Neodiprion lecontei: one gene and its partner. The main gene of each other region encodes a partner of the protein of the gene in region 2 in a complex. Links are inferred from orthologs where the notes say so. Each region holds a gene or a part of one and is shown on either strand. Other genes may lie near its edges.

Region 1 (5,410 bases), on a different chromosome or scaffold from region 2:
CAAGTTATTAGCGACCGCGATGGGCTTGGCAAGCACCCTCACGGGAAACTTGCCTAACAGCGTTGAGACGGCGCCATCGCCGAAGGTGGTGCACGCTACAATTTACCTCTTTTTTGCGCTCTCAGGCCTCGTCGATGTTCTCACTTTCTACTTTCCCCACGTCGTGAGCGACGGTCTGGCCAAAATGGCGCTTGCCCAGGCCTTCTTTATCGAGGGATTTTTATTTTTGTGGACCAGCCAGTCCAATAACTCTGCGATAGTCTTGGCTAGGATCGTCTGGACCAGCTCCTTTGCCGTCGTTCTCGAGTTGGTCTGGCCCGAGATGAAGCTCCTCAGGGCAGCTTCCACTCTGCTTCACGGTAGCTGGCTCGCTCACATGGTCAGAACCAGGGTGGAATGCAATTTTGCCACACTTGTGGAATGTAATCTTGAATCTCTGAAAATCGAGACTCTAGCTCTTTCCTTCTCCTGGCACTTTGCAGCTTCATTTATTGTCACACTCTGCGTAGTCGCGGTCACAAGAAGTTGCGCGCCGAAACTGAGGCCTGATGATCCTCCCGAAATCCCCATCTATGATTACTGCCATGACGTAGATCAGAGAGTTTAGGGCCAAATTTGTTCAGCTTGTGATACATGAAAAAGCCAGGTCGCCTTGATAGATCCCAACTTCTGATCTCTGATCACAGTAACACGATTTATTAGCTATTTTATAAATGTGCCTTGTTTATTTTTGCTCGCAACCTGTAAAGACGTCTCAAGTGGTTCATTTTGTTTTCTCATTAATTTTTTTATTTACTCAATTTTTACTCGTATATTGTAATTGATAATATTGTCGATTCACGTACCAATTTTATTTAGCTATATCGATCGTCTTTACAGCAACTCGCTTTTAGTATCTAATACTTATTGCCACATGATCAAGTTGTTCTCGTTATTAACGTGCCTAAGGTAAACAATGTTTTTATACAATAAATTTGTATATAATATTTTTTGTGATATTACTGTAACATACAATGAAAAAGTGTTATTATTCAACCAGTCGCCAATTGCCAGTGCCTCACATGATATATGTAATCATGATGTATTTTAATACCGTGTAATTGTAATATTGTATAGTCTTATATGCATATAAGCGTTGTTAAATCTTGTACACTGTTATCCAGATCTTGAACTTCGAGATCTGCTCTTCCAAAAATATTGTACATCTACATGTACATACATGTTTATGTGAATGTTCTTTACAACGATCGAAATATTTTGCCTATATGAAATTTGTAAGTCAACACTTTCGAATAAATTTAAAAAACTGATATTTGAATGTCGATTTTGTTTTTTCTACCATAAGAGTTGTAGTATTATAAAGTACAAAAACAATCAGACCTGAGAAATCTCCCAGCAGTGATCCTGCCGTACAGTTGTTCGAAATTTAAAAGTCTACCTCGCGCTAATTTCGTCATCATTATCAGTTCATTACCAACAGCGCGGGATTCTCCAAGTAGTATTTCCAGAGGTTTGAGAATTTAGCTATCGTCGCACCGTCGACCACCCGATGGTCTGCGGCCCAACTAACCGACAGTATCTGGGCTGCGACTACCTTATCATCGGCGTCGAAACGAGGCAGTTTTTGTGTTCTTCCCACCGCACCGATTACTATTTGCGGTGGTAATATCACAGGCTTTGTGTACGTCCCGCCGACCTGTGTGCAACGATTAATAAAATTGACGATTTTCACTACTCTTCATCTCTGTGTTCTACATTTTTTAAACACTACTTACCACTCCGATGTTGGACAAGGTGAATGTGCCACCCGCCAAGTCGCTCGGTGGTATGGCTGTCCTTTTTCCGAGTTCCTGGAGCCTGTTGAGTTCCTTAGCGATGGTCACGACGTCGAGATTCTGAACGTTCTTTACGTTGGGCACGACCAGACCCTCCGGAGTATCCATGGCCACGCATATGTTGTGCCACGGTAGTACTTCGACGGTTTGAGTATCTTCGTTCAGCCTGGCATTGAGTTCGGGAAACTTTTCAAGAGCCTTTGATATCGCCTTTATGAAGAATGGCATGTAGGTCAGAGCAATCCCCCGTTCCTTCATGGCGGCTTTGACCTCATCCCTTAACTTGACGAGTTTCGTCACGTCGCATTCGTCGCTGTAAACGAAGTGCGGGATGCTCTGAAATGAAATTCTTTACAATCTGTGCAATGAATTGTTCAACAAATGTGTCCTAAGAGTCCTTAAGATTTCGACTCTGGGTAGATTTTGGCACGCGGTAGGACTCACCAGAGAGCGTGTCATCGTTGTCCACATGTGTTTCGCGTATCCTTTGAGGGCAACGGTTTTAACCTCTCCTTGGACTCGATTCGTTTTATCAGGCTGCCTTTGCGGCTTGGTTGATTCCTCGATGTCACTGTCAGACGTCTCGTTGTCATCGTATGAAAGAAGGTCCTCCTTTAGTATTCTGCCATTTTTACCCGTTCCGACGACGTCTTTCAATCGAATACCCTTCTCCATGGCTATTCTCCTGACAGCAGGAGTGGTGAGAACTTTTCCGATCAGGGATTCCCGGGAGGCCTCACTCCCCCGCTGATGTTCAGTGTTGAGGCTTGTTTTCTCCTGGGGGGATATTTCAGTTGTCCCCGAAACTTCTTCGCTCCCATGTTCCCCCTCGTCATCCAGCTCTATGTCGACCAGCGGTTGTCCGACTAAAGCGATTTCGTCTACCTTAAATCGGAGGGCTTTTATCATCCCGTCGTATCGGCTGGTTATAGTGACCGAAGCCTTGTCGCTTTGTACTTCGCAGACTTCGTCGAATTGGCTCACTTTGTCTCCAGGTTTGACGAACCTGAGGTAAAGAAATAGTCAACCATTTGTCACCCTGTCTGATACTGTCGTTCGACACTTTCAATGCGGGAATGTTACAGGCTGTCTCAATTTGTTTCGTGTAACACAAACATGGGAGATGATTGAAGTCGCTCACCATTCTTTGACCGTGACCTCACGAATTCCTTCCCCAATGTCGGACAATTTGAACGGCACTACGCGACCCTGAAGCGAAACCGAGGTCGATACGGATCTGAGAACAGCCTCGAGTTTGATGTTCTTAGGCTGAAAAAGAGCAAAAAATTTACGAATCCGATATACCGATTAAAGCGGTTCGAGATAAGGAAAGTAACGGTACGATTGATCACTGATAAGCAATAATACGTGCACCATTTACCGGTAGAACCAATCTACTAGTAGCTAGATGACGAACGAAGAACGTCATTGCGATGTTGCAACGAGTTGACCGCACAGTTCTGCAGTTACTGGCAATCAGAGCGATATTCATACCGCGTTAAGCGTTGAGCTGATTATACGTCGATACCGAAACAAAGTGACGAGCGTTCTCCGTTTGCCCGCCTTACCGTACAAGTAATGGCCGCGCTTCTTACGGAATAGCATTTAATCACGAACGTCAGATTCATGCTCGGTGCGATTAATTCTTACGTAACTTACTCGGTTGAGAAACAACAACTGATAACAGCACTGCGAAATCAAACATAACCGAGTCGCGCATCGTCTTATACATCTCAGGTACGTATTTCTTCATTTTGTAAAAATCTGGGTGGTTTGTCGCGTGAAGATAATTGCAGCTTCAGGAATCCCCCCCCCCCCCCCCTTCCCCCGTCAGTTTGAATTCTTCAATCATCTTGTAATATCTTGGATAAATGAGGTGGACAACGATATCTGTTGTGTTTTGCTTTATTCCTTTTATTTCACCAACTGGTTCGTACAGCGGTTACTTAACACCTCGGATACCGAGTACATACTGGCGTGTCTATATCGACACGCTTGCTCGAACACATACACACGTGTCTACGCTTACCCATATTCCCCACATACATTGCCTGTATTCCATACTACTACACTCTCTCTGACTAGAAAAAAAAAAAATGTTTTAATCGTTGTCTTATTTTTCTGTGTGATTTCGGATTCGCTCTGACCGCCGTGTCATTAATGGTATTGCATCAACATCTGCACTTTGTTTGACACATTCTTCTATTGACAGTTTCATCTGGTTGCTATGCCGTTTCCATACTATATTAGGTGAAATTTCTACAAGGTAAGTTACCCCTGATACTGATTCTTTTAAAACTTTGGCTTTTACCCATGATGAATGCGTCCCCCGATAATCTGTAACCATGACTATATCTCCTACTTTGAAATGTGAGCGGTTTCTTCCGATATAATTTTTTTTTTTTTTTGCCTCGAATGCGTTTCATCAACCGTTTCCTGTACATAATGCGGGCATAAAAGCGAGAAACAATTCCGTAATTCACGGTTAAGAAATAACTTTGTCGGAGACTGATTTGTTGTCGTTTGCGGGGTCGACCTGTAATCATGTAGGAATTGCTGTGTGGCATCCTCTAAATTCATGTTGTTCATCATCATACATTTAATTTTTCGTTTGTATGTGTCTACAAAATTTTCGGCCGCGCCGTTTGTCGCTGGGTGGTGTGGCGGAATCCTACTGTAGCGTATACCGTGCTTTTTCGTGAATTCTTTAAATTTATAACCACGAAATGATTGGAAATTGCCTGTAACTAAATTTATCGGGTACCCGTGTCGAGAAAACAAGTCGGAAAAGTTTTTGATTGTAGCCGTTTCGGTCATATTATTCATAATGAAAGCTTCAGGCCATTTTGAATGGCTATCGATTACCATTAATACCATTTTGTCATTGATTGGTGCAAGAAAATCTGCGTGTATTCGGTGCCATGGCGTAGTTGGCCATCCCCATGAAGTTAACGGTATTTTCATCGGTTTCTTATTTGTTTTTAAGCAGGGTAAACAGGATTTTGTTATCTGATCAATATCATCGTCGATGTTTGGCCACCAAACATACCCACGGGCTAACGCTTTCGTTTTACGTATTCCAAAGTGGCTACAGTGTAATTCTTTTAAAACTAAAGTGCGTAATTTATTCGGTATAATTACTCTGTGGCCCCATAATAAACAATTATTTTCCACCGCTAACGCGTCTTTTTTGCGCCAATACACTTTTATTTCTGTTTCCTTTGGTTCCCTTTCAGGCCATCCATTCAAACAAAATGTTAAAATTTTGCACAGCACTTTATCCTCGCGCGTCGCTTTTTGGACTTGCTTCCAATCCAATGTCGCGAAATCGAATGTTATGATATTGTTCAAAAAGGTATCTGGCATGTCTTGTATAACTGCGAATCTCTTATCATTTTTATCATCGTCACTTGGTATGGAAAGCCTGCTCAGCCAATCTGCATAATTATCTTTTCCTTTTGTGTGCGTAATTTTGTAATTGAATGCAGCTAAAAATGCCGCCCATCTCTGTAACTGCGTTGTGGCTATGGTTGGAATTGATTTTTCCGGATGCAATATGCGGACTAGCGTGGCAT
Region 2 (6,508 bases):
GGTTGCAACGACGCCGAATGACGTGCCGGGCTCAATGCTCATGCGTCGATCGATGCGGTCGTCCTTTATTGACGCGGGAAAAAAACTACCCTTTTTAAATTTTACTCCATTGCGGGACCGTTTCAGCTGCGGCAGGACTCATTGTCAATGCAATTTTCATCGTGACTTGACACCCTGAGTTCACTCGGTGAGGAAATCTGACTCATGATGCGCTCTGACCGGTATGGATTAAATCGCTAATCTGAAGACTGAAGCAACACAATCGTAACTAATGGGAACGCCGCAAGTTTTTTTTTTTTTAAGCAGATAGACCATTTCCTTCATAATTAACCTGAATCGTGTAACTCGAAAAATTTAACAATGCACGCACGTATTTGTTTTACCTCAATTTTTTATTCTTATTAAACAATAGTGCTATGGATTTGAAGTAATTTATTCGGATTCTTGGTAAAAAAAAAAAAAAATTACAATCCGTTGAAATTCAAATTCTCTTTAGTTTTTGTCAAGTTTTCAGAAACGGCTTGCCATCCTCTTGACTTTAACGACGTCACGACAAACGCTCAGCTATATGACGGAGAGTCGGAGTATCTATCGAACGTCTGGACGCTAGCAGAACGTGGAAGATGACTACTGACGTCATCACATTCCAAGATCCTTAATCTTGTAGGATGCTTGTCACGCGATGACGTCAGCTTTACGACCACCTCGACGCATTTTTAATCGCAAATTCTCCCCTCAGACAACCACTCATCTGGTTTATAGGAACCTTAAGTAGCTATCGAGTGGTTGATTCGATTGAGCTTTTAAATTCTAGACTCTGAAGTTGGTTTCAGGCGTTTCATTGAATTCGTTAGATCGAGTGTGGTGTCGATAGAAGTGAAAAAAATATTGCGAAAACAGTTCTGATTCAAGTCAGTAACGCATGGATGAGAGTTACGAGACTGTTGTGGCAACATTGGGGGATGTGTTCCGAAATATGTTGCCAGTACTGTGAGTTTCACTTTCAAGAGAGATAGGAAATGGCAAAAAAGTCACACGAGTGACGGAGAGCGTCGATAAGGCTAATTTGCAGTGCTGACATTATACCTTTTTAGGAACACACAGCGCGCCTCAGCGAAATGAAAGCCACAGTCTGCATGTCACCCAATTGATTCGACGTCCGTTACGTGCAAGGTCATCGGATCATTCGAATATGAAATATTTTTGACATCCTTTAAAATCAAATTATTCTCGGAGTTCGATTGAATCGATAATCTATACGTTGAAAAAAAACTGTCCAATGGAATCATTTCCTGGTAGTTTCTTTTTCCGTTCCGTTATAATGCTCATCGATAGTAGCGTGAAAACCTCTTGCGTTTATTCGTTACTTCCGTCCTGTTCCTTAAACACATAATCTAGCGCGAAGTTTGCTGCATAATTTTCATCGTTAAATGTGCGTATACCATATTGTCTGCAATATAAAGGGGAAAGTACCGTTTTTCTTTGATAGAAAGCAGTCAATGAACCGCGTTACGAAAAACTTTAAAAAGACAGTTACGACCGATTTCCTTCACTGCGTTGAGCGGTAATAACTCGCGTGGTTTTTCGCATTCGCTTAAATACCCGCATGAGTCTTTTATTACACTGGGTACATCATGGTCTCAAAATCTCACTGGCAAATGGCTGACGCCTGGCCGCCGTAAATCAGATTTAATAAATTCAGCCGGATTCATCCGACTGACGTAATCAAAAATTGCGGACACTGGCGCCACCGCTCATCCGTTCGAGATTTAAATGCTACGCGGTGTGTTCACCAACCGATAACAACGCGACCTGTACTGCAGCCAGAAGTCGAGAGCCGTGATTGGTCGAAACGTTGGGACCACCTCGTCGCGGGCCAATCATAGTTCCGCGTGAAGTTGCGCAGTATCGAATAGCCCAAACCCGTATCGATATTCCAGCATTGAGACCATCTGCAACTTCACAGTATTCGGGGTTTTCCTTCTATTTAAGGTGTCTAACCCCTCTTTTTCCCCTGACTGAACCAACTTGTAATATCGACGAAGGGTTGCGATGCAGGCGAGCCTTTGGAACCTGGTAAACACGTCCGTTCGGGTGAGAAATTAAACGAGTATAATTCTTACGCAATTGTTATTTGTTTATTAAGGTTTCTGAATTTCTCATCGCCCACTTCTTCCTCTCTCCTTCGCATGTCCGTGAAGGGCAATCGTCTGCTAATAAGCCAAGCCATTGCTCTGCAATCCTGGTTATGTCATTTGTGTAGTTAAAACTTAACTCTTATTCGGCAGAAAATTATCTACCGGATCTATGCCAATTTTTGTAACACGATCTATCTATCCGACCCTTAATCAAATCATCCTTTGCTTAAAATCTACAGTTTTATCACTTCTTTCCTGAACTCGGGACTAGATATCCGGTCGTTTCCGCCTCCAATAAGGCGAATATCTTGACGATGAATTGTTCATCTTTTATGAAAACATCTACAGTATATTTATGAAAAAAGAAAACTACCGTCTTTCCAACTATTTTGAAACAATGAATAGTAAAGGTGCATCCTCAATTTTTTCAAAATTTGAATAGCTTTTCAATTAGATTTATTTAGCATAAAAATTGTTCCCGTAAATTGACGAATTAATTGTAGGAAAGAAAAAGTCAACCTGGATTGACATAATGTGAAGCATTTCTACAGCACATCTAGGTAGCAGAATATTGAATAAAATTTAATGTTCTCTTTATAAAATAGAAATAACGATCCTCATAACTTTGCTATTTTCTATTATTTACTTAAGAATTATTTTTCGGATACACCTGTGACACACAGAAGAAAATCGTGTCCTGTATTTATATACAAGACATTTATCTGTTCGATCATATTTACTTTCAAATTTCATCACGTTTTTTGAATAAATAATAAATTTTCTCCACACCAGCCGGCATGCGTCAAACGAGTTGTAAACCCAGTACTCTCGGTCGCTCAGCAGCGAAGGTATGCCAGCTCGATCGATGCTGACGTAGTAGTGATTGGATCAGGTCCTGGAGGATATGTAGCAGCTATAAAGGCCGCCCAATTGGGCATGAAAACTGTGTGTGTGGAAAAGGACCCAACGCTCGGTGGAACCTGCCTCAACGTTGGATGTATTCCATCAAAGTCTCTCCTTAACAATTCTCACTATTATCATATGGCACACAGTGGAGATTTGAAGGATCGTGGAATCGTAGGCAAGTAGTTTGTTAGGATTGTAAAGACTTGGATCATCACAAAATATTTGGCGTTTTTTTTAAACTTATTGAAAAAAATTTAGGAAAATCAAGGAAATTCTACACATTTCTAGATCATAAGTATGCATCTGTAAAAGATTAATATCCTCGAGTATTCTCACATTTAGATTTTGGTAACATCTGTTACTAGATTTGTTTGGGCCATGTCTGCATTTCATATTCTCTTATCCATATAGCTGATAACAGTATGTGAAAAGCTAAATTTGATATTCAACTAATTAAATTACAATAAAAAATTACGCATATTTAATTCTTCTATTTTGTAAGTTGAAAAAAAAAGAGGAAATACCTATTGGTATTTTCATATGTTGTTTTCGACTGTATGCAATAGTTTTGAAAATAGCAATGATTATTTGCAACACGACTTTATTTTACCTCGTTATGTTCACAGTCGAGAATGTCAAGTTAGATCTGGACCAACTCTTGCAGCAAAAAACGAACGTGGTGAAAGCCTTGACTAGCGGAATAGCTGGACTTTTCAAAAAGAACAAAATCGAATGGGTTAAGGGACATGGAAAAATAACTGGAAAAAATCAAGTTTCCGCACTAACACCTGACGGCAGTGTTGGTACTACCATAAACACCAAGAATATTGTGATCGCTACGGGCAGCGAAGTGACACCCTTCCCTGGTATCGAAGTCGACGAAAAACAAATCGTTTCATCGACTGGCGCGTTATCATTAAATCCAGTACCAAAACGATTGATAGTTATTGGTGCTGGAGTCATCGGCTTGGAGCTCGGCTCAGTCTGGCAAAGGTATTTTACCATTTTTCCATGGCAGTTATTATTCGGTACTGTAAAATACAACCCTCAAAATCTTGTAATTATTTCTTCATCTAAAAGCTTCTAAAATTCTTAATTTAACAAACAAGGAATACAAAGACAAAACTATATCGACTCATTCACATTGACAGGTTGGGTTCAGAAGTAACAGCCGTTGAGTTCATGACGTCAATTGGTGGTGCTGGTATTGACGGAGAAGTCAGTAAAACTTTACAAAAAATATTGGGAAAACAGGGTCTGAAATTCAAGTTGGGAACCAAAGTTACCGGAGCAACGAAAACCGGTGGTGAAATCAAAGTTTCGATCGAAGACGCCAAGGATCCGAGCAAAAAGGAAGAATTGGGTTGCGACGTGCTGCTCGTCTGCGTCGGCAGAAGGCCATACACGAACAATCTCGGCCTTGAAGATATTGGTATTGAAAGGGACGAAAAAGGCAGGATCCCAGTTAACAATCGGTTCCAAACTGTCATACCAAAGTGAGTGTGCGCTCTTCGTATCATGACTTCAGTTTCAAAAAAGGTGCTCAACTCAATGTTGATTTATTTTTTCGTTGTTTAGCATCTACGCCATCGGAGATTGCATCCATGGACCTATGTTGGCGCACAAAGCCGAAGACGAAGGCATCATCACGGTAGAAGGCATCGCCGGAGGTAAAGTAAAAAAAAAGAAAACTCCCCTTGGTCTACTGAAAAACCTGCAAACCAAACCGCAAATCGTTAGAATTCACCTAATTCACGGTAAATCCCAATCAAGTCGTGTATTTTTAAAGGCGCTGTTCACATCGACTACAACTGCGTACCAAGTGTCGTTTACACGCATCCCGAAGTCGGTTGGGTCGGCAAAACCGAGGAGGATCTGAAGAAAGAAGGCATCGATTACAAAGTAGGAAAGTTCCCATACCTAGCCAATTCTAGGGCTAAGACCAATATGGAAACGGACGGTTTCGCCAAGGTGTTGGCAGACAGTAACACTGATAAGATTTTGGGTGTTCATCTTGTTGGACCGTCCGCTGGAGAGCTGATTAACGAGGCTGTTTTGGCGATGGAATACGGCGCGAGTGCTGAAGACGTCGCGAGAGTCTGTCACGCCCATCCGGTACGTAACATACTTACCACTTTACAGACGGGTTACGTAAAACGATCCATACGTCTAATGGCTGTGATTACAAAGCGTATTTATCGTCAACCAGAAAGGAACGCTTAATTAATTTTTCCTTTGTTTTATTACAGACGTGCTCCGAGGCTCTCAGAGAGGCTCATCTCGCGGCGTACTTCGGCAAGCCTATTAATTTCTAAGAAATATTACACGGCAATAGTCCGAAGCGTTGTGAAGAAAGATCGTGAACGCCCCACTTGGGTAGTTCGAGTTGTAATAATATCGTGTAAGCAAGTCGTAATTAGCTAAAAGGCAATACCGTCAGATGAAAGAAGCAATGAGAAGACGAAAAAACACCAAGCAAAATAAAACAAGGTTGTAAATAAAGTAAATATCGTTACGCAATGCGGGATCCCGGGGATTCCGATTACGATAACCGACAGTTCTATTACTAACGTAATATCACACGAACCCCCATGTATTTATTAAAATATCAAACAATAAAACCCTATCTGCTTTTGCGAGCAAGTGGAAACCGTATCAAGGTTCAACAATGTAATAGCACCTCTATCCCTGATCGGATATCAATCAAATCGCAAACTCGCAAGTTTTAAGAACTCTTATAATAACTCGCTGTTACAGACAAGTTCAATTTTTTCCCGGAATATCATTCTTGCACAAAGTTCGAAATGGCGAAATTCCGTATTTGATTAATATTTGAGTGTCTTTAAGCAAAAGCGAAAGAAGTTTAAAAAAATCTTCAGTCATCACACCGTCGGACTATCCTGCGCTTCGAATTCCACGCACAAAGCGAATGACGCTGGTTGTTCGATGAAGCGAGGGATGGCAGCACGCGAGGATGGAATCGAATTGGATAAGCCAGTGCTGCCGCATCTTGGACCGCGAGTGCAACATCGTTGGACATACGGTTGATCCGAGAGCTGAACGGAGCCGAGGGGCAACTGCTGCGTGGTGTGTGGCAGCAGCACACACCCAATGTTTGTGTTTTCGAATATCTCGGGAGGGTAATATCGGCGTGATAGAATAACACGGTAGAAAAATGTTCGTAACAAGCTAGAAGTTAAAGGATGTAGCCTGTCCGATATCGAGTATCAAGATGTGGACACCGACAAAGACGACGAAGTATGGCGTTGGTAAGTCTAACAACAGTGCAACAAAACCTTGACGCGTTTCGTTCGTCTAATTCGAAACTGTCAAATAACGTACGAAATACGGACATACTGAGAGATAGATGGGCCGGATACGCCGAGCTGTCAATTGTTTTCTGTCTCGACGATCGCTGTCGGTATTATAGAGTTCCGTAATTAAAAATCCGCGAATCCAAATCT

Evidence for each region. Proteins that work in one complex are often made in the same cells at the same time.
Region 1: the proteins of dihydrolipoyl dehydrogenase, mitochondrial (region 2) and lipoamide acyltransferase component of branched-chain alpha-keto acid dehydrogenase complex, mitochondrial are in contact, whole or in part, in a crystal structure (PDB 3RNM), measured with the Homo sapiens proteins. The link is inferred for Neodiprion lecontei from reciprocal best matches to the Homo sapiens genes DLD and DBT. Residues at the interface, in NP_000099.2 of Homo sapiens: Ser446, Thr447, Asp448, Arg449, Glu472, Tyr473, Gly474, Ser476, Glu478, Asp479, Arg482; in NP_001909.4 of Homo sapiens: Thr174, Pro175, Ala176, Lys196, Arg199, Leu201, Lys202, Glu203, Leu206.

The regions. Positions count from the first base shown.
Region 1 is NC_060264.1:33,776,419-33,781,828, forward strand, and holds lipoamide acyltransferase component of branched-chain alpha-keto acid dehydrogenase complex, mitochondrial, read right to left. Parts: upstream 3,460-5,410; 5' UTR 3,328-3,459; coding exon 3,217-3,327; exon of another isoform or gene 3,213-3,216; coding exon of another isoform or gene 3,210-3,212; intron 3,105-3,209; coding exon 2,977-3,104; intron 2,842-2,976; coding exon 2,280-2,841; intron 2,172-2,279; coding exon 1,776-2,171; intron 1,697-1,775; coding exon 1,463-1,696; 3' UTR 830-1,462; downstream 1-829. Other genes in the region: transmembrane protein 45B, read left to right, coding at 1-607. UniProt on the Homo sapiens protein: The branched-chain alpha-keto dehydrogenase complex catalyzes the overall conversion of alpha-keto acids to acyl-CoA and CO(2).
Region 2 is NC_060263.1:37,791,810-37,798,317, reverse strand, and holds dihydrolipoyl dehydrogenase, mitochondrial, read left to right. Parts: upstream 1-1,936; 5' UTR 1,937-2,052; coding exon 2,053-2,094; intron 2,095-2,930; coding exon 2,931-3,219; intron 3,220-3,670; coding exon 3,671-4,037; intron 4,038-4,195; coding exon 4,196-4,540; intron 4,541-4,622; coding exon 4,623-4,714; intron 4,715-4,833; coding exon 4,834-5,159; intron 5,160-5,293; coding exon 5,294-5,359; 3' UTR 5,360-5,699; downstream 5,700-6,508. Other genes in the region: dedicator of cytokinesis protein 3, read left to right, coding at 6,277-6,313. UniProt on the Homo sapiens protein: Lipoamide dehydrogenase is a component of the glycine cleavage system as well as an E3 component of three alpha-ketoacid dehydrogenase complexes (pyruvate-, alpha-ketoglutarate-, and branched-chain amino acid-dehydrogenase complex).